Arabidopsis thaliana: one gene and its partners. The protein of the gene in region 3 interacts with the protein of the main gene of each other region in a pairwise test. Each region holds a gene or a part of one and is shown on either strand. Other genes may lie near its edges.

The links. Proteins that work in one complex are often made in the same cells at the same time.
Region 1: the proteins of PKP-ALPHA (region 3) and AT3G01690 interact in a two-hybrid assay, tested with the Arabidopsis thaliana proteins (one large-scale study listed by BioGRID).
Region 2: the proteins of PKP-ALPHA (region 3) and PDF1B interact in a two-hybrid assay, tested with the Arabidopsis thaliana proteins (one large-scale study listed by BioGRID).

The regions. Positions count from the first base shown.
Region 1 is NC_003074.8:254,353-260,608, reverse strand, and holds AT3G01690 (alpha/beta-Hydrolases superfamily protein), read right to left. Parts: upstream 4,315-6,256; 5' UTR 3,857-4,314; coding exon 3,555-3,856; intron 3,291-3,554; coding exon 3,254-3,290; intron 3,153-3,253; coding exon 2,916-3,152; intron 2,822-2,915; coding exon 2,774-2,821; intron 2,692-2,773; coding exon 2,230-2,691; 3' UTR 1,913-2,229; downstream 1-1,912. Other genes in the region: AT3G01710 (TPX2 (targeting protein for Xklp2) protein family), read left to right, coding at 72-137, 232-295, 373-618; AGP11 (arabinogalactan protein 11), read right to left, coding at 1,218-1,628; SEOR1 (sieve element occlusion amino-terminus protein), read right to left, coding at 5,363-5,734, 5,829-6,125.
Region 2 is NC_003076.8:4,724,729-4,730,537, forward strand, and holds PDF1B (peptide deformylase 1B), read right to left. Parts: upstream 4,019-5,809; 5' UTR 3,944-4,018; coding exon 3,730-3,943; intron 3,646-3,729; coding exon 3,507-3,645; intron 3,429-3,506; coding exon 3,236-3,428; intron 3,142-3,235; coding exon 3,031-3,141; intron 2,760-3,030; coding exon 2,697-2,759; intron 2,503-2,696; coding exon 2,401-2,502; 3' UTR 2,366-2,400; exon of another isoform or gene 2,311-2,365; intron 2,269-2,310; 3' UTR 1,913-2,268; downstream 1-1,912. Other genes in the region: AT5G14650 (Pectin lyase-like superfamily protein), read left to right, coding at 61-192, 275-421, 509-541, 625-832, 911-1,101, 1,208-1,600; ARFA1B (ADP-ribosylation factor A1B), read left to right, coding at 4,591-4,738, 4,911-4,981, 5,212-5,331, 5,414-5,532, 5,659-5,767. UniProt on the Arabidopsis thaliana protein: Removes the formyl group from the N-terminal Met of newly synthesized proteins. Has a preferred substrate specificity towards the photosystem II (PS II) D1 polypeptide.
Region 3 is NC_003074.8:8,135,689-8,144,619, reverse strand, and holds PKP-ALPHA (Pyruvate kinase family protein), read right to left. Parts: upstream 5,436-8,931; 5' UTR 5,252-5,435; coding exon 4,649-5,251; intron 4,550-4,648; coding exon 4,459-4,549; intron 4,354-4,458; coding exon 4,160-4,353; intron 3,968-4,159; coding exon 3,846-3,967; intron 3,706-3,845; coding exon 3,227-3,705; intron 3,151-3,226; coding exon 2,849-3,150; 3' UTR 2,568-2,848; downstream 1-2,567. Other genes in the region: AT3G22961 (Paired amphipathic helix (PAH2) superfamily protein), read right to left, coding at 1,811-2,482; ARFC1 (ADP-ribosylation factor C1), read left to right, coding at 7,107-7,298, 7,897-8,256.

The DNA.
Region 1 (6,256 bases), 7.9 Mb from region 3:
TAGAAAACTTCTTTTTACTTCCTTCATTCACGAGTGGTTAGAGAAGTAATCAGGTGTTACAGTAAGTGCAGAGGGAAGATAGCTCCTAATTCTTCTGCCAAGACAGGTCGAGGAAGATGGAATTTCCTCCCTGCGGAGTAAGAAGAACTGATCTTCATAAGAGTTTACTCAATTCAAAAATGTATAATGTGTACGTACCTTTTTAACCAAGTTATTGGAAAACAAAAGCAGGACACCGAGCTGTTTTACACCGTTTGGCTTAAGAACAGAGGAGAGAGCAGAGAGAAGAAAAAAGGCAAGAATAGAGATATTTTTGGTTTCTACGCTTTTGTCTTGTCACTTACCATCATTTAACTGGTTCTTGTGTTTCAGAAGCTAGAGGGGAAATTCAAGGAAATGGAGACACAGAACCAGAAGGCGGAGGAGAGGAGTGTGGAGAAGGAAGAGAGTAAACTAAGGCAAAGGCTATGCTTCAAAGCGAAGCCACTTCCAAATTTCTACAAACAGAGACCAAAATCAACAGACCAAACTAAGAAAGTAAGCTTACTTTCACTAATCGCCAAATGTATGTGTGAAGTACTAAAAGAAAAAGATAGTAGCCATCGTTTCTGTGTCTGAGAGTTCTCTGTGTGGTCTTTGTAGGCTCTGTTACAGTAGCAGAGAGGTCTTACAGAAACTCCCTATCATCATCTTTCAGAGAGATATTGCGCTGACTTAGCGCCTGTGGCTGTGGGGAGAACTATCAAAACCGGATTGCCTCAAAAAAGGATTAGTTTGGAATTGTTGACATACTGTATTTGGTTTTATTCCAAGAAGGAATATTGAATTTTACTAGATTGCATTGTATGAATATTTGTAAACTTTGTTTATATATGATTTGAAAACACAAAATAAGAAAGAAAGGGGGCATTCCGAGAATTGAACTCGGGACCTCTCGCACCCTAAGCGAGAATCATACCACTAGACCAAATGCCCTCTTTGAAAAATTTGTTTTTCATTTAATTTCTAAATAAACATTAATAAGTTCACAATCATCAAAAATTACGTAATCAAAAAAAACATAGTACAACAACGGTACGTAATAATAATAACTCCATTCAATCTCTTGATTAATATAAATCACTGTATATAGTATAGTTAGTTAGTTAAAGAGATACGGCCTCATCTCATAATGTGAATCTTATGATTCCGTCTCAAGTTTAATTAAAAAACAAAACTTAGAGAGAGAAGATGAAGAATCCGGCGGCGGCGACAGTGCCGGCGATGGAGAGCTTCACATTAGTCGTGGCGCCACTTTTGGGTGACTCGGCGGCGGCGGGTCCATCAGATGAGGGTCCGTCGGAGGAGGGACCATCGGCTTCGGGGGTAGGAGCGGGTGGGGAGGAGACGGTGGGTGCCTCGGCGGAGTCACTGGGGCTGGCTGCAGAGTAGTCGTCTTCAGGGGTGGGTTCCTCAGCAACAGGGGATGATGCTTTCGGTGCGGCGGCGGAGGATTTGGGTGCAGCGGCAGGAGCCTTGGTTGGGGATTTGGTTGGTGAGGCGGTGGGTGCAGCTGAAGGTGCATCGGCGGCGAATACGGTGCCCACGGCCAAAGCCAAAAGGGCAACTACGACAAATAGACGTGCCATTATTTTCTACTTTTTAAATATAGTTATAGAGATTAGTAAGAGGAGGTGTCCAAAGCTAAAGCAGTATATTTTATTTGTTTGAATACTGCAGAAGCTTCAGATGAAGGAAAACAAGAGGACAATGAGATGGATTTATATGTTTTGAAATTTGAGAAATTTTAGGAAAATCGATGGATTTGAGAAGAAAATGGGCATCCATTAGCCTTATTTTAGAAGTGAGCTACTTTTTGTATATATTAATTTTTGTACGTAGCAAAAGATAGCGAGATCCTAAAAATTGGATTTCTATTAAGAACAAACGATTGGGCCATGAATTTAGTTCAGGCCCACATGAGATGTGTGATCTTTGTTTTGGAACTTTCCTACTTACCACAAACACTAAAAACTCATCTAAAAACAGAGGATGGATATTCAAGCCCACCACAAAAGGTTGTTGATTCAAAAGGAGATGGCGAGAGAGATCCCAAATTGCATAAAAGATTACAAATCAATAATATGAGGAGCGACATCCACATGTTATTTTGTTCGGTAAATAGAAACAGTTATGTACTCTTTTCATCTACATACGTATTATACGTGTGTGAGTGTGAGTGTGTGGTTTTTACTCGGAGCGAACTCTATCCAACCTATCCACACTCTTCCTCCCCCTCTCAATCTGGTCAACGCTCTTCCGAGTCTTTTCATGGCAGTCAACGCTCCTCCGCGAGCGATCAAGTTGATCAAACGAGATCTTGAGCTTGCTGCTGCTGCTACTCATCTTCGACTGACTCTTTGGTGGCTTCTCTTTCTCTCTACGCTCTGTGCTCTGCCTCGGCTTCACTCTCCTGTCCATACTTCTCCTCGGGGGCGCATCTCTCACTCTCTCTGATTGGTCGCTGCTCATCCTCGGACATGGTAATCTCTCTACTGTTGCTATGAACTTCTTGAGGTGTCTAATGTATTCAGGGTAGTGTTCAAGATCACAGTGGTTCCCTCCTTTCACCCAGAGCGGCTCGTACTTGTCTTTGCAGAGTTCCCATAGTTGTTTCCCATGAGAACAATCCACTACCTCATCCGAAGTTCCCTGCACATATTTGAAACTGTTTGGATCCAAAAAGCTTATCAAAAATTCAAACGAAAATGTATCTATCTGAAACCTGACTTACATGAATGATGAGAACCGGGCAATCGACATATGGGATTTTGTCGATATTCTGCGGAAAAACACACACTCACACACAACAAGCTTCTTACATTACAATTTGGAGAATGTGTAGGATTAATAGAAAGAATTGGTACGTGGTCTACCTTGTAGATGTCGAACCAGTAGGTTTTCTTGACGGAATACATAACTCTTAAACCGGAGAGAATGGGGCTGTGAAGGACGACGGCTCTAAGTTGAGGCAACCGGGAAGCAAGATCTAACGTAGGTCCGCTGCCTACAGATTGGCCGTAGAGGATGACACCTTCCTGCTTAGAGCCAAAGGTTTCTTCAAGACACTTATAAACAGCTTCGATATCAGCATACGTGTTATGCTCACTCGGCTACAATCAATCATTTAAGAGAAAGAAAGATTTTTGAGAGTTGGTCCTAAAACTCATAATGGATCATCAGACCAATCAGATTGATGGGGTAAAGGACAAACCTTTCCAGTAGATTGTCCATACCCGGAGTAATCGTATCTGCAACATCACAACCAATAATATCAAAGACTGATTGATTCCAAGCAGATCCTAGCCCAAGTTTCCTTTTTTATTGGGGTGGTGAATAAACACTCCAAACATAAACAGAGCAAATACTAGAAACAGAGCTAGAAACGTGAGAATCAAAACAGGGCAAATCCTATACCAAATCAATCAAAAGAAGCATACAAAGATAACATTTTTAAATCAGCATCATAATAATAAAATCAATCGAATTACAAAGGGAGAGAAAGAAAAACAGACCCCATAAGATTAACCTTGAGATGGATGCTAAGCTCAATGAAGAGCTCATACATCTGTCCCAGATCGGCGGCGTTGCCATGGGAGTAGAGGAGCGTGGAGGTAGCCATCGGATGCCTCACGTACATGCCCACGATCTCTGTGCCTCTCCTGGTCCGAAGCTTTACGATTTCTACGTTTTCGCGGTGGGGGAAAGGGCTGAGAAGCAACAGTCCGGTGAGCTCGTCGGTCACCACCTTGTAAGACGGTGGACTCGGCGGGAAGAAGGCAAACTTCGCCGCCACCGATGACGTCACCCCTCCCATCTCCTTCCTTCCTCACTCCGTTTCTCTCTACACAGCTTGCATTTGGGTTTGGTTTATTGAGAGAGCTGCTATGTTTTGAGATTGAAGCTTTTCATCTCCTTGGGAACAGAGAGAGAGAGAGAGTATTAAGCAATACTAACAAAGTGGCTTTTTTAACGATTACTAGATTACTACATTAATCTTAATTGTTGCTTTTCATAAAAATTGATTTACGCTAAAAAATACTTAGAAGTACTTTTGACTTAAATAGGGGTTCGGTATTGGCTATAACGTATCTATGAGAATTAACGTAACAAATTATTTATTATGCGTAGTAATAAATTATAGGTAATTTTATCTCAATTCATCCCTAATATCATAATCTACATTTTGTACTTTTACATATTTTTAACTTATATTTGACATAATACGACGGCTAATCGAATAAAAATACAACTTGCTCATTTGAAAACTCTTTTGTACCTAATTCTCATAGATATGACATGAGCCACCCCTAATTTATGTATCAAAGTCAAGCAGAAGTGGACAGACCATTAAAATTAGCCTTTGTCCCCCACAATAAGAAGGGTTTACATAGATTTCATAATTCAAAGAGTACAATAGAGTTACAAACAAAGTGTTTTCCTAAGATAGACAAGGTGGACAATGGCATGTGGGATGATATGGTTGCTATTTAGATAGAACCATGCAATTCATTGGTTATGATTAGACATATGCCATATCTCTTTTGACATTTACTTAACTTTTTGCCTTTATTATTTAGACTAATCCATCAAATTACTTTGTGTTAAATACTAAAAAAAGAATGAAAGTTACAAATTTTGTGTCTAATTATAAAAACTAGCCCAAACGATAAGAGTAGTAACAATCCATTCTTTATTTGAAGATGGACCACACATGAAGATATGGATCATAACAAGGAAAATAAAACATTATATTGACGACATGAGGGACACATTGAAATGCTATAATTCACTGGACAAGAAAATGAGATATCAACAACTAACACAAAAAACATTTATAAGAAGATAAGCCAATAAATGACAAATTGATCAATTAGAAAATGATAAGAGTATATAAGTAAACCATTAGAAACTGGAAAGAATAAAAAAGAGTATGCTGTGGTGTGCTTCGTGGGGGTCCATTTACTAAAGTGGGATATATAAACATTATGAGAAGAAAGAAAGCAAATAGTTATATTTTGAATTGGTCTAATTTGACATATTCAAAATTGTTGTATTCATCAGGGTTAATTTTATTAACAAAATAAATTCAACATTTATCTATGCTATTAAGAGAAGAAATTGTTAATTATTGAAAATTATTAGGAATACTTCAATCGAACATGTCCCACAAAGGCCAAACCACACACATGGAATGACCAATTCTCTCTCATACAAAGATATTGAAATTCAGAAATTATTTATGAAAAACTATATAGAGAATTCAAATTACGTAAAACAAAAAGAAAAAGCAGCGGGAAGAGACGTGAGCTTATTGCATCATTTAGAAGTTGTAGTTCTCGTCTTCGTGGAGCTTTTCATCGTGACAACAAGAGAAGCTCATGTACTTCTCCATCGGACGCTGACACTCGAAGCAATTCATCTTCTCCGGAATCCGACCGCTCCGAGCAGTGATGTGGAAATCAAAGTGGCCGCAAGGTTTTCCGGTTTCACGGAGGACCTCATCGTGGTGGTGGTCGGACATTGCTTTGGTGTAGCCTTTGGTCGGGACGTGGGTTTTCCAGGTCCGGTCGTAAACACTCATAGTCCTCTCTATGGCACCGTGAGCGATCATCACTATCTCAGGTCCTTTGCTCAGTAGTGCCCATCCTCCAAGCTTGTCGTAGCTTAGTATCTTTTTGATTCCTTGCATCACCTAATCAACGTTTTCAAACACACAAAATCATTCATTAACCAATTGAACCGAACCGAACCGAAATAATTGAAAACCCTAGCTAGTCAACTCTTACATCGTCGTGATCATCGGCTTTACCGAGTTGAATCTTGGAGTACAACATGCTCTCGAGCCTAGTCCAGAAGAACCACATCAAGGCAGGTTCGGCCCAGCTATGGCTCAGGTTTTCAGACCTGATTACTTCACTGATACGCCTGATCTGTTCCCTGTGGCTATGGTTTCGTTTTCCGACGTAAGCCATCTCAAGGTTCACGTTGGAATCTTTGGCCGTTGCTTTGGCCGCCATTGTGAATCTCCTTATCCAGTCCAAGTCATCTCCTCCGTACAGGAAAATGTAATTATCCGGTTTTATCTGCAAATCAGACCCATCATTGTTCATTAATCACGCCTCGTTCTTGAATGAATGTAATTTAGGTCAAACCCTGCCTGCTCTGTTTCTAGAGTTTCCAGGCCAATCATAAAAAGAAAAAAGGATGAGACTTT
Region 2 (5,809 bases), on a different chromosome or scaffold from region 3:
ATTGTTTAGCTGCGTTTCTATCCGTCTCATCGATATATAATGGAACCGTTTGTATCGCAGGCTTTTGAAGATGCTTGGCAGGTAGCTTGTAAGGTGGCAGCGTCAACATTATTAGTTCCATCTGGTTCTACGTTCCTTGTTGGACCTGTTTCCTTCCTGGGAAAAGAATGTAAAGAGAAAATCGTCTTTCAGGTAATTTACTCAAGAACAAAAAAATGTTAATCAAGCATTTCTAGTTATATAATCGTGACTGATGTATTTGGATACTGTGTAGTTAGAAGGAAAGATCATAGCTCCAACGAGTGCTAGTGCATGGGGATCAGGTCTCTTGCAATGGATAGAATTCAAAGCACTTCAAGGAATCACTATAAAAGGAAAAGGGATCATCGATGGACGAGGATCAGTATGGTGGAACGACATGGTAAACAGTTAATTCAATTTTCTTGGCTAAACAAAATTGTGAAAGCTTGCAATGACATCTGCTAACGTTCTTTTTCAACTGTGACAGATGGGTACAAAAATGCCAAGGACCAAACCAACAGTAAGTTTTACCTGAGTAAATTACATGGATATTGCCAAATTAAAACCAACATTTATTTTGGATTCACCATGGTTGGTATGTAGGCTTTGAGGTTCTACGGGAGTAACGGTGTTACGGTCAGTGGAATAACCATACAGAACAGCCCTCAAACCCACCTCAAGTTTGATAACTGCATAAGCATCCAAGTTTCTGATTTCACAACTTCATCCCCTGGAGATTCCCCAAACACAGATGGAATCCACCTGCAAAACTCTCAAGATGCCGTTATATATCGCAGCACGCTGGCTTGTGGTAACCACAGACTCTACTTATTGAAGCTATGATGAAACTTACCACGATGAAGAAATAACAATTCCTTTCATTCTACAGGAGATGACTGTATATCAATTCAAACGGGATGCTCGAATATCAACATACACGATGTAGACTGTGGCCCTGGCCATGGAATTAGCATTGGAGGACTGGGAAAGGACAATACAAAGGCGTGTGTTTCAAACATCACTGTCCGTGATGTCACGATGCATGAAACTACGAATGGTGTTCGAATAAAGTCCTGGCAGGTAAATTCTGTTATTTGCATAACAGAATAGAGGTAAAGACAGCTGAAAAAAAGCATGCGACAACAATTCAAAGATGCTGACAACTTTCTGTTATGTTTAATGATAGGGAGGATCAGGGTCTGTAAAACAAGTTATGTTTTCAAATATTCAAGTCAGCAACGTAGCCAATCCAATAATAATAGATCAATATTACTGCGATGGTGGCGGATGCCACAATGAAACTTCAGCAGTCGCTGTATCAAACATAAACTACATAAACATAAAAGGTACCTACACCAAAGAACCTGTACGCTTTGCCTGCAGTGATAGCTTGCCATGCACAGGAATCTCACTGTCGACCATCGAGCTTAAGCCAGCCACAGGAAAAGCAAGTTCACTTGATCCTTTCTGCTGGAAAGCACACGGTGAACTGAAGACAAAAACTCTTCCACCAATACAATGTTTGAAAACAGAAAAGTCACCGGAAGCTGCAAGTCGGTCTAATAATGATGCTTGCTGATATTAGAGTAAGAAATTATGTAGAAATGTTAAGATAGGCCACACATTATACGAATAAAGAAGGGTTTGATTCCCTTCCTTTGTCTTATACTAGTTTTTATAAATCATTTGCAAACACAATGTAATATATGGCATGCAATGTATTGCATTCTGTTATAGACAATTGGAAGTTATTGAGTTAGTCCCAACCCATAGCCTAAGGAAGGATTTCATCTGTGAAGCAACAATCTAACAATTATGACTATTTGGACCAGTTATGATAGAACACATCACAAGTAATATACTTCTTCGAAGAAAAGTAATGTCATCTGAGGGATGCAAAGAAAGTATATAAAATGAGAGCTAAACAATATATCAAAAGTCTAATTACCAACACATGTAAACAACTAACGCATTTTACTTTGTAACAACGGATAAACCACGACATGGTTCAACTTAGTCGGCAAGAACATTCTTAACGCAGTTCCAAAGCTCAAGCTAACAGCACAAGACAGACAAACTGAAGAAATATATTACTCAGACCAAAATAAGATTCTGAAATATATGATCTGTGTCTCAACCGTACATCCTATTTGGGAGATTTGCATCACATAATGTGATGTGCTCCTCTAAATTTAAAAAGCAAACGTGTCTCTTGTCATTGTCTGCTTCCTATACCATAGTAAATTCCTGCAGTGGAAATTAAGTAGAATTTTTCAGGAAAAAAACCCAAGAGAACAAAGAATAAAACCTCAACTCAGAAAAAACAGTTGTACTCATATCCTACACGTAGATGAAAGGAATTTGAGCGAGAATGTCTCATCAACGTTTGCCAAAACCAACTCCTGCTTTCCTTTTTTGTCGTGCTTCTACTCTTTCAGGGCTTGGCAATCCAGTTTTTTCTTCGTACTTCTTTTCTAGGGCCTACAGTACAAAACTTGTCAGGAATATTATAGAATTACGATGATAACAAACATTTTAAGACAATAGACTACTGAATGAAAAGATGTTCACCAAAGTCACGAGTCACTACTAACATACAAATGGTAATTTTATCCACGAAATTTAACTAGTGGTTATTGTAGCTTTAGACTCTGCCCTGCTACAGTTTTACTCACCTCTAGCTCTTCACGAATGCTATCAAGAACTTGATCCGTCATTCTGTCAAAGAAGAGAACTCCCTGTAATTTGAAGAATGTTCCATCAGACCGAAATGAAAGCTTGAAAGTGATACTCACATACAGTAACACAAAATACCTCCATGAAAACAAGTAAAAGTGAACAAAAGTACTAAAGAAGATAAGGCCCGTGAGTAAATGATGACACTTTTCAATGTCGAAACATCAAAATATAAGTGACTGCAGCCATTCAACTGTACATAGATGTACTTTCTGTGTTGTCATTGCTATATTTAATCAAGCAAAGTTATCAAAATAAAAGTGGAGAACAAACCTCCAGATGGTCGTATTCGTGCTGAAAGATTCGTGCAGGTAAACGTGATAGACTGATTGAAAATCTTTCACCAGTAATATCCCTTGCATCAATCTTGACAGATTGTGGTCGCTGAAAGCAAAACCAACCACATAAGAACCGGTTTCCAAGAAACAATGAGCAATAATAAGGTTTAAGTAATTCAGTCAAGAAAGGGTGGACATACAACAACTTCAGCATAGATCCCCGGGAAGGAGAGGCATCCTTCATCAAACGGTACTAATTTATCGGAATATTTCTTGATTTTCGGATTTACAAGGACAATTTCTTTTCCTTCTCCAGGCTCTCCAGCTGGATTAAACACCATGAGTTGAACATTGAGACCTACTTGTGGTGCTGAGAGCCCAATGCCATCCGTTCTGTCCAATAGCCATATGTAATCACAGTATCACTCTGTTATTAAGTACTAAGTTACTTACATTATAAGGAGGACTTACTTGTACATAACATCAAACATAGCATCAACCAAGTTCTTTAAATTCTCGTCAAAAATATCAATCCTCTTGTTCTTAGCCCGTAGTATAGGATCCGGATACTCAACAATCTTCAAAGGCGTCTCAAATTGAACATCAGTAGCTTCAACATTATCACAAAATTACAATCATACATAAACAGTACATGCTCATAGAGTAATCAATAATAGATAAGCAAGTCTGTTACCTGAAGCTACTTTATCGTCTTTACGCGAGACGCGCTTTACTTCTGCGCGGACCGAAGATGTCAGAGGACTGGTCCGGTTCACAGTAGAGCAGAACGTGACCGTGGATTTGAGCCGACCATAACCGGCAGAGAGAGTAGTAGCTCGGCGAGATAAAACCGGTAGGAGTATGCGAGAGAGTGGTGGAGCTTGGAGGAAGCAGTTACAGACGGCCATGGCTAGAGAGGAAGAGTAATTTCAGACGAAGCGGAAAAACTGAATTTTGTGTGGAGAGTAAGTAAAAGATTGAGTAGACCATTTTGTAATTCTGCTTTTGTTTAAGGTGCAATTCCGAAATATTTATATTTTATAAGGACGATTTTTAAAACCAATATTCTATTATTAGAGCTTTTGTGAGGAGAGACATTTTCTCTTTCGAAACTCGCGGCTTGCTCTACAACAGGTCCTTCTTTGGAGCTTCTTCGAAAGGTAAACAAACTCTCACACCATTCATCGATTCAAGTTCTGTATCATCGTTTCTCAAAATCTCTGGTATATTGATTTTCTCGGTCTTTGATCTCCATCTTTCTTAAGAGTATCAAGTGATTGATCGATTGATTTATCTGGTTTATACGTTCTTCTTCTTTTTGTTCATGGTCTAAAGGTGTTATTCGTCACTTGGCTTTGTTCAAGGATCTCATTATCTATATTTTTTTTAATCTATACGAACTTTGTTGTTAAGGTTTTTTGGAATGTTAACGTGATCGTGTTTATCAATAAAGATTTAGTGTTTCGTGTTTCTTTTGTTGGTCTTCAGTTATACAGAGAATTTCTTTAGAGTATTGTGGTTTGCTTTGGATGTAGGTGCTAGCTAAAGGAAAAAAATGGGGCTTAATTTCACAAAGTTGTTCAGCCGGCTTTTTGCCAAGAAAGAAATGAGGATTCTGATGGTAGGTCTTGATGCTGCTGGTAAGACCACTATCTTGTATAAGCTGAAGCTTGGCGAAATCGTCACTACCATCCCGACCATCGGTAAGGTTTAAGGATTCCTTAAATCACAGTGTCTGTCGATGTGTACACTTAGATTAATATTTTATGTGTTTCTTACCTGTGTGTAATCCTCCGCTACGGATTTTATGTAATCCTCTTCTGCATGGAAGTTTTGTTTCTTAAAATTTAATGTTAAGGAGGGTTTCGTTTCCAGGATTCAACGTGGAGACTGTTGAATACAAGAACATCAGCTTCACTGTTTGGGATGTGGGGGGTCAGGACAAGGTACATATTTAACTCTTGCCATGTTTATGGTATACTGTCCTCGTGATGCTTTATGCTCTGCTCTGGTTTTGGTGTGACTAGTAATGATCTTTCATAAAACCTGGTTATTCATATCGTGCAAGCTCAATTTGAAATTTTAATCTCCACGTCTAGTATCTATGAGTGTTTGTCGTCTTCTTTTTTTGTCTGATATTTGACATTAAAATGCACTTCCGTAAAAACATAAACAGATTCGTCCCTTGTGGAGGCACTATTTCCAAAACACTCAAGGTCTTATATTCGTGGTTGATAGCAACGACAGGGACCGAGTTGTGGAAGCGAGGGATGAGTTACATCGCATGTTGAATGAGGTTTGCCTTCTTTCTAGTTTTCTCTTGTTACACAGTTAGACTGAAACAACTTCCTATAATTTGATTTATACCATGTTTGTAGGATGAACTGAGGGATGCTGTCCTTCTTGTGTTTGCAAACAAACAAGATCTTCCCAACGCAATGAATGCTGCAGAAATAACTGATAAGCTTGGTCTTCACTCTCTTCGCCAACGCCATTGGTAAAGTTATTTTCTTTCTACAAAGTTTTTCATTAATTAATGTGGTTAGATTGAAAAATAAAAAAAAATGTGGTTAGATTGATCACATTGTGATAACATGTATCTTATGTTTTTTTCTTTTAACAGGTACATTCAAAGCACTTGTGCCACATCTGGAGAAGGTCTCTATGAAGGCCTTGATTGGCTCTCCAACAACATCGCTACCAAGGTAAATAACTTAAATATCCCATTTTAAAACTAAGTAGAAATTTGAAAGGAACACTCTTTTGAAAGTATT
Region 3 (8,931 bases):
TTAGAGAAGATAACCTAAAAATAGTTGAACCAAAGACAGACTTTTCTCATGCAATGTAACAAATTATTTCCAATAATACATTTGTTATTTATCATAAAAGTGGGTGGTATATGTACGATGTTCATCATAATTTAGTGGTTGAATTCACAGCCAATAACATGGATAGAATTTCTTAATTTATTGTTTGCTATTGTTGGTGTTGTTGTCTCTATTATCAATTTATTACATTGTTTGTATATGTCTTTATAATTCGGACCCGTAAAGTATTAACTACTTAATTAAAGGTCCCTATTCTGACTATATATAATAATTGAATTATTGAACTGTTTCATGATTAATCTAAAACTTGTGAGTCTTTTGCATTTAAAATATATGATTGGGTCCATTTGCTTCTATTTTAATAGAAATGGGACCATTGGTTTAAGTGATGCAAACAGTAGAAGGGAAGATATGATCAAATCCTCCAATATTATTTGATTTACATTAATTTAATCTAAACTATATAAAAATTACGTTCTCTAATCTAGTGGATTAATTTAAACCACCAGCTTAGTTTTTATACTTGACGCATTCAATTATGTTGATATGTTTCTCATTAGTGTCGGAGTGTAAAATTGGTGTTGCAAAATAGTTAAAATCATTCTTTGAGTGAGTTTCACGGTTTAATTTCGGAATATTGAACATAGAAACGATTGGTCAAGAGGACCCCAAAACTTTCGGAAAGATATTAAAATGAACCGTTGTGACAAGTAAGTCCGTAAAAGTAGTTTATATCACATTTTAGAAATTTTATCAATTGCCAATTTTTTTTTTGAATAACTTTCAAAAAGATAAACAGACATTTGTTCTTTTTTTTTGTAATAGAAATACTACTTTTAAAAAGAAATTACTATTTGAGATAGAGCTACGATTTTTTTATTCTTTCGATCAACACTTTTTATTTATTTTAAATTAAATTTATCAACTAGTTCTGAGGGTAAATTTATATATTTGAACCTAAAATAGAGATATTCTTGGAAAAAATAACATATAAGTGTAGTAGTTCTACAAATTATACACAAATAAGTGATTGTTTTTGTAACTCACAGCACCATCTTTTTTGTTTCACTCGAGGCCTCGACCAAAAAAATTTGGTTTAACTTTGATTGGGGCGAACTAATATATCTCTCTCACCGGTCCATAGCAATAACAACATCAAAAAGCAATATATTGACGATGATTATATATTCGAAGATGTTGGGTTAAAACCTGCGGGCCTAAATGGGCCAAACATTAGAAAATAAGCCCGTCATCCTTAGAATGTAGAATCCCGAGTTTACGTAGCAAGCAAAGAAGGCATCAATGTATAAGTGTGTTAAGTGTGAAAATTGACGAAAATAGGCAAAAAGGACAAGAACATTTAAAGGCATTGTGTTTGTTATGTTTATGGTATCAGAGTCTTTTAAGAAGTTTTCATGAACTTTTTGATAACCAAAGTGTATCAGAAGTTTTCATAAACTTCCTAAACACGTTTTTAAATCAAGTGTGCATAAAAACTTTGAAAAAGGATTCATTACGCCCTCCTAAGAAAACAACGTTTTTTTTTTTTTTTTGGTGAATAGAAAACAACATTGGAAGACTCGAATGCAAAGAAACATAACGAGATTCACAATCACAATCACAATGTAGCCACAAATCAATAATAAAAAAAAAAGACTAGAAAAATAAAAGAAACAAAACTCTCTTCACTTGTTCACATTGCTCTTTAGTTCTTGACGGTCATAGCTTCGTTTTTACCTTAAATTCTTTCGCATCAGTCATCTTCGTCTTCTTACTCTTGCATCAGTCTCTTCTTCTTCACTTGATCCAGATCATACTGACTCTTTGAAACGTATTTCCCATTTAAAAACTCATCAGAGGATGATAATTCCTCTTCAGTTTCAAGTCTAGTCTTATACTCTTCTGCCCCCGCCTCAAAACCACGTTTCGGTTTTTTGAGTAAACGGGAATCAACTAGAAACAATATGAACTCCTCTTTAAGAGATGCGTGATCGCAGAGAATCACGTCGAGTTGTTCAACCAAATCCACAATATCACCGCCAAACACCAGCTGATTTAGGAACGCACCGTGTAAACCCTTTCCCAAACCTTCCACTTTCTTCATCAACTCAACCGTGCGTTCTACGTCTGATTTTGCCGAGTTACAATCCTTCTCTGTGATAGGTGAATCTAATAGAAGAAGCTGATGGAATTCTTGGAGCAGAGCGTCGTGGTTACGAAGAATAGAAGCGACTTTGGTTTTGAGATCGATGTAACTTAAAGACTTAGATCGATAAGACTTCATTGCATTTAAAAATTTAACGATGATTGTCTTATCATCCAACTCTTTAACTTTTTTCACGAACTCGCAACTCCGTTGAATCTCTTCTTCCGAACAATCCGACGGAGTTTCATAAAAATCTCTCTCTTGATTCTTCATCCGAGGTCTCTTGCAACTTTTCATGTTTGTTCAAATATCTTCTCTAATGGAGAGGCGATTCTAATTGTGATTATATATACACTATTTATAATATAGGGTTATGGTATATATTCGAACTCATCCTATTTGGGTTTACATATATATCCTAACAAAAAGATAAAACAAAAGGACTAAATGATAGAATCGAATATTTGAATAAGATTACTGATATTATTGAAAACCAAAAACAAACAGTACACACTACAAACAAAGCTTACACATTACTGTTGTTAACAAACCGAAGATGATGATGCCTCTGGAATCTAATGTAAGAGTAGTCTAAAAACAGTAACAAAAGTAGGAAACAAAACACTCTTTTGCGGGATTGCGAAATTGTATAAAGAGAGAGAATTACGGGACGTTCATTACCTGGATTGATTGCAGCATGTCCGAGACTGCGATCACGAGGTCACCAGATTTGATCATACCTCTTGATTTCAGTAACGAGAATGTTTTGTTCAAGTTGCTTTCCATGTCGTCTGAGAAGCTGAGACGGAATGGGATAAGTCCCCATTGTAGGTTTAAGCGTCTTCTCACTGAGGTTGTGGTTGTGAAAGCAAAGATCGGGCAGTCCGGGCGACATCGGGAGACCAGTGATGCCATGTGTCCGCTCGTTGTGTAAACGAAAACCGCGTCCACTCCAAGATTGTTAGCTGCAAGTTTTTGGATAGTAAAATGAGACACTAAAGACATATTGCCTTCTATGGAAAACAAAGAACCTAAATTTACCCATTTTAGCAGCTGAGTTACAGATCTCTTCTGAGATTTTGTCTGAAAATGAAGAGCCTATGGCTTGAAGCGGTACAGACTCATGGCGTTTCTCTTCCCTCCACCATCTCTCGATTCTTAAACTGACAGTCCTTAGAACCGTGAGCGCCTTGTCTGGGAATTGTCCCATAGCTGATTCTCCAGAGAGCATCAATGCATCTGATCTTTGTCTTACTGCTTCAGACACGTCGGCAACTTCTGCTCTGGTTGGAGTTGGGTACTCAATCATGGACTCCAATAGCTGTGAAGCGACAATGACGGGTTTGTTAAGAGCTCTGCATACTTGGACGATTCTCTGTTGAGCTGCTGGAACTTGCTCAAGAGGTATCTGAGCTCCCAGATCTCCTCTTGCAACCATGGCCCCATCTGATGCTAGAATAATTTCTTCCAAATTGGTCAGTGAATCGATACTCTCGATCTTTGCAATCACTCCAATTTCCCTGCATCATAGTTGAATACAACATCAAAATAAAACTATAACTAAAGATGGTGAATACATGACGCAAAACCCAATCCCAAAGTAGATCATATGTTTCCTGTACAGTAGTATGATGTGTTGATATTGAGCATGTTTACTTACCCTCCACGGGAACGAGCAGCAAGATAACTTTTAAGGTGATTAATGACTTCAGCCGACTTGACAAACGATACAGCAATGAAATCCACACCTTCAGCAATTCCAAAATCAATATCCAACCAGTCCTGAATATAAAGAATTGAGGTATCATCAGTGAAAATGAGTATGTTTTCCCTCAGGTATCATCTGTTTTGCTAACATGGACTCATCTAGTTTCCAAAAGTGTACATCTTCACCATTGCTTTGATCCCTCCCAAATTTACCAAGTAAAGTGAATCATAATTCAAAGCTTAAAGGGAAGATACAAAATTACAAACCTTGGAAGAAATTGTTGGAAGCATGGCATTACGCTCTCGTACAAGACTTCCATCTCTCCAAAACGTCAAGTTAGCTCGAGGAAGCAACAATCCAGGATCGGTACATAGACACTTAACATCAGGACCAATCTTCTCAATCACTTCAAATCTCACCATCCCACCATCAACCAAAAGTTCATCCCCAACTCTTACATCTACACCACACACAAAGACCAAATGATTCCTATTTCATACGCAGTCACCATAATATTCATCTAATGTTTTCACTTCCACTTTTACATAAACATAATTGCATATACCTTCAGCGAAACCATCGTAGCTAACACTAATGGTACGTTCAGGACGAGAAGAATCAAAAGCTCTAACAGTGAAAGTCCAAACCTCACCATCCTGTAAAAATGTCATCACCACCAAAGCTTAAACATCTAAATCACAAACACAGCAATGTCTACATCGAATTCAAATCAAAATAAGAAGAGATTAAACAACCTCTGCTTTAGCTGAAGCTTCACCACCAAGATCTCCCATATGAATCTCACTACCTTCAGTATCCATCATAATAGCAACCGCAAAGCCTTTCTCCTCATTAAGCCTCCGAACACTACGAATCACACCGCGGTGCCAATCACGCGTACCGTGACACATATTAAGCCTTGCCACATTCATACCTCCCACAGCAAGCGCCTCAAGCTGCTCAAATCCACAAGTCGCCGGTCCGATCGTACAGATCAGCTTCGTCCTCCTCGTACTTCTAAATCCATTCTCCTTAAGCTCAGCTTCCGTCACAGTATCAACCTCAATCCCAGACGTATCAGTCGTAACCGCCGTAGCGACAACGGATCTCTCATCAGACTTCACAGCACCAGTACCGTTAGGTGAGAGAAGTACTTGCGAGGATGATGATGAGGACGATGAATCGAGATCCGGTGAAGGAGATGATGACGAGGAGGCTCTGATGGAAGTGTATTTGATGGTTGTTAGAGGGAAGCGACGGAAGGAGATAGAGGAGAGAGGACGGTTGAATTGTGAGTGAGGGAGATGGAGAAGGTGAGGAGTGTGTGAAGGAGTGGAGAATTGAATAGACTGAGACATGGTTTCGCCGGCGACGGAGGAAGAGAGATCGGAGAAATCGAAATCGAAATCTCAGGACAGTTGGCTCTGAGGAGAATGAAGGCGGAGATATCGAAGTGTGAGAGTGTTGAATTTGGATTTTTTTTTTTTTTTCTGATATGATAGGACTTTGGGAGAGAGGTTATATTTGGAATATTTGTATTTGTATTTATATATATATTCTATGTTTTGGTGCCGTCGAGGCTGTATGTAAAATAAGTGTACCTACCCACCTAAGAATGATCAAATTAGATTTTGTGATTATTACTATTATTATTTTTAATAAAATATTAAATTCGACCAAGAAAAAATAAAGTTAGGATACATCAAATGTAACTTTTCCAAAATTGTTTTGAAATTAGATTATACAAGAGAGGTTTTAAGGACTTTTAGATGCAAACCATGTTTGGAGATTTGGTTCGTATCTACTATATTTCTCCTTTCAAATGATTGAGAGTTTTTTTTTTTTCCAGCTTATCTATTCACTTAGGAAGATGTGTGATAAGAATCAGAGTTTTATTGTGTGTTTTTTTTATTGCGTTCTCGCCAAATCGAATGAACCATTATTTGAAAACTGTATTAGAGGAAGAATATATGGATTCTGTTACAGTGATCAGAAGTAATAATAATGACTAGAGCTTGCCATATTGTAGAGAATCGTCACTAGAGTAGTGGTTTCGCTAGGGAGGACCAGACTGCCGACGAGTACTTACAGCTGAAAAACAAGTGCTCTCGTGTCTCGATAAGAGTGTTACATAACACACATGTTCGATTCAAGTTCACATTCCAAGCCTTCATTGAATCTAATGTAGAGAGTCGATTCCGCATTGCTAGCCATATACAAAAAGAGAACTATCAACTATGATAGGATCTAAAAAATCCAATTAGACTTTTCTAGAACTATTATATATATATATATATATATATATATATATATATATATATATATATTTTAAATCATCGTATACAATAACAAAAATAAGATTCGTTACCAAAATTAGCACAAATTTAATAATAAAATAATCAATATAAGCATTTAATTAACATTTCACACGATCGTATTATAACCATGATTTCAAATTATAATTAAATTTGTTATTTTAAATCCTCAATATAATTTACTTCTATTTAATTTTATATACTTCTGTGGGCCGAGAAAATGTAATTGTTATAATCTAAAATATATGGAAAGGCCCTAAGCCCGTTTGAGTTTTTTTTTTTCTCGTTTAAAAACATCTTTGTGGATTTCAAGTCTTCAACAATGTTCGTCTTTGGCGTCGTGGCTAATGGCGGTGACGTGTTCGGTGCCATTACGGTAGAGGCTGCAGCCGTTTGGGTAAGTAAAAGAAAACATTACTATATAGTTTTCATTTTAATATTTGTTATATTAAAAGTTATTAATAATTTAGATCATCATATTTACAGTTTTGACATTGTTTCCCGCATACTTTTCTTCTTCTTCTTCTCTCCACCCATCTGCTTTAAGGAAGGAACCTCAAAAGCTTACAAAATAGTAGAAGAAGAACTTTTTTTGATCTCCGATTCTTACCTCTGCAATCTTCAGATTCTAGCTGATTCAAGGTTTGATCACAAATTTCCCGATTTGTATATATATAATTTAGATTTGGTTAACTTTATCGAATCTGGGATCGTTGTATCCAAATCTGATCTGGGCTTCTCTGATTCAATTACTTGGGTTTGTAAAATTGATGGGTCAATTTAAAGGATGTATCTTTAGGGTTTCTCGATTTCACTCTGTTTGTAGAACAATTTGATCGTAAAAGTAATGATGTGTTTTATTTGATTAGGATCTTGTTTGTGATAGAAATTGGAGGAGATGGGAGCATTCATGTCGAGGTTTTGGTTCATGATGTTTCCTGCAAAAGAGTATAAGATTGTTGTTGTTGGTTTGGATAATGCTGGTAAAACGACGACGCTTTATAAACTTCATTTGGGTGAAGTTGTTACTACTCATCCTACTGTTGGTAGCAATGTTGAAGAGCTTGTCTACAAGAATATTCGCTTTGAGGTACTGGACTCTTTCTTTATTCATTTGGGTGAAGTTGTTTCTTAGCTTCTTATCTAGGGACGTGTTTTAGAAGTTTGAAACTTTATGGATGTTTCTTAAATTTGCCATTGCCATCTTTTGATTGTGTTATTGTCCCTAGCTATGTTTCTTGCTTGGGTGTGTGCATTTTTCTCGTTGAAAAATGGATGATGTTTTTGTCTAAGTTCTTGTCATGATTGGTTGAGAAGGTGTCAGAAACTCATAATGAACGTTTTCGTATGTGCGATTTATGGTTTTGTATAGTAAATTTTTGTAGATGTTGTTTATCTAGCTTGTTTGTTATACCGGAGGAACTGTTTGCTATTTCCCATTAGCTTAGTTTTTTTGCCAGAGGACTGTTTGGAACATCTTTATACAGTGGTCAAAGTCATGGCCTGAGATGAATTCATCTCTGTTTTATGACAATCTGCATGTGTTCTTATATGTCAAAACTCAATGATGAATATAAACGTAACTAAACTTACTAAAGTTTGAATTGTTTCCTGTCAAAAACTAACTGTTGGACACTGGCAATCGAATATTTGAGGCGATGTTTACTTTTATGATATGTTGTCTTTAGGTATGGGATCTTGGTGGGCAAGATAGGCTAAGAACTTCATGGGCAACATACTATCGTGGAACACATGCTGTGATTGTGGTTATAGATAGCACAGACAGAGCCAGAATCTCTTTCATGAAAGATGAGCTAGCCAGGTTACTTGGTCATGAGGATCTTCAAAACTCGGTCATACTAGTTTTTGCAAACAAACAGGATCTGAAAGACGCAATGACTCCTGCTGAGATCACGGATGCACTTAACCTTCACAGTATCAAGAACCATGATTGGCATATTCAAGCAAGTTGTGCGGTTACTGGAGAAGGATTGTATGATGGGCTCGGTTGGATTGCCCAAAAAGTTACCGGTAAAGCCACGAGTTAAGGGGAAACCAGAACTGAATCAGAGAGAGTACGTACTATTCTTCTTTGTTTCTTTTGTCTCCTTCATATGTTCTTTAACATTGTATCCTCTTGACTTTTATGTAACAAGCTTCAACTATTTTGGTTGCTCTCATTGAAACTGTGTCCAGAATTTTCATATATGGAAGAAAAAAATCTTGTTTTGTTTCAGATTTAAAACTACCACCAAACTCAAAATCCAAACGAACTAAAAACAAAAACAGAGCAACCATTAAAACAAGACAAGACACCATTGTAGCCTCTCTCAGAGCTCACCACAGTCTGCGATAACCACCGGCTTGGAAGGAATCCTGTTCAAAGTTCCAACCTCGTCTTCAATGCTCCTGAGCACGTCGAGTCCTTCAACAACTTGCCCGAACACGACATGTAAACCATCGAGAAACGAGAACTTTTCCAAGACAATCTGGAACTGAGATGCATTGGTGTGGGGATCACCGACGGCCACTGTGCTAGATTTTCTTGTGGTGGCGTGAATTTGGCACTGTGGTCTTCTTAAATTAAGAGACACATCAAGATCAATAGATTTTTTACTGCACAAATGAATCAATTTTTTTTTTTGCCAATTACATCAAATTCACTGCCGCGGGAACGTAAAAACACAAACTCACTCTTCTGGAAGAAGTAGAGACAAAAATAT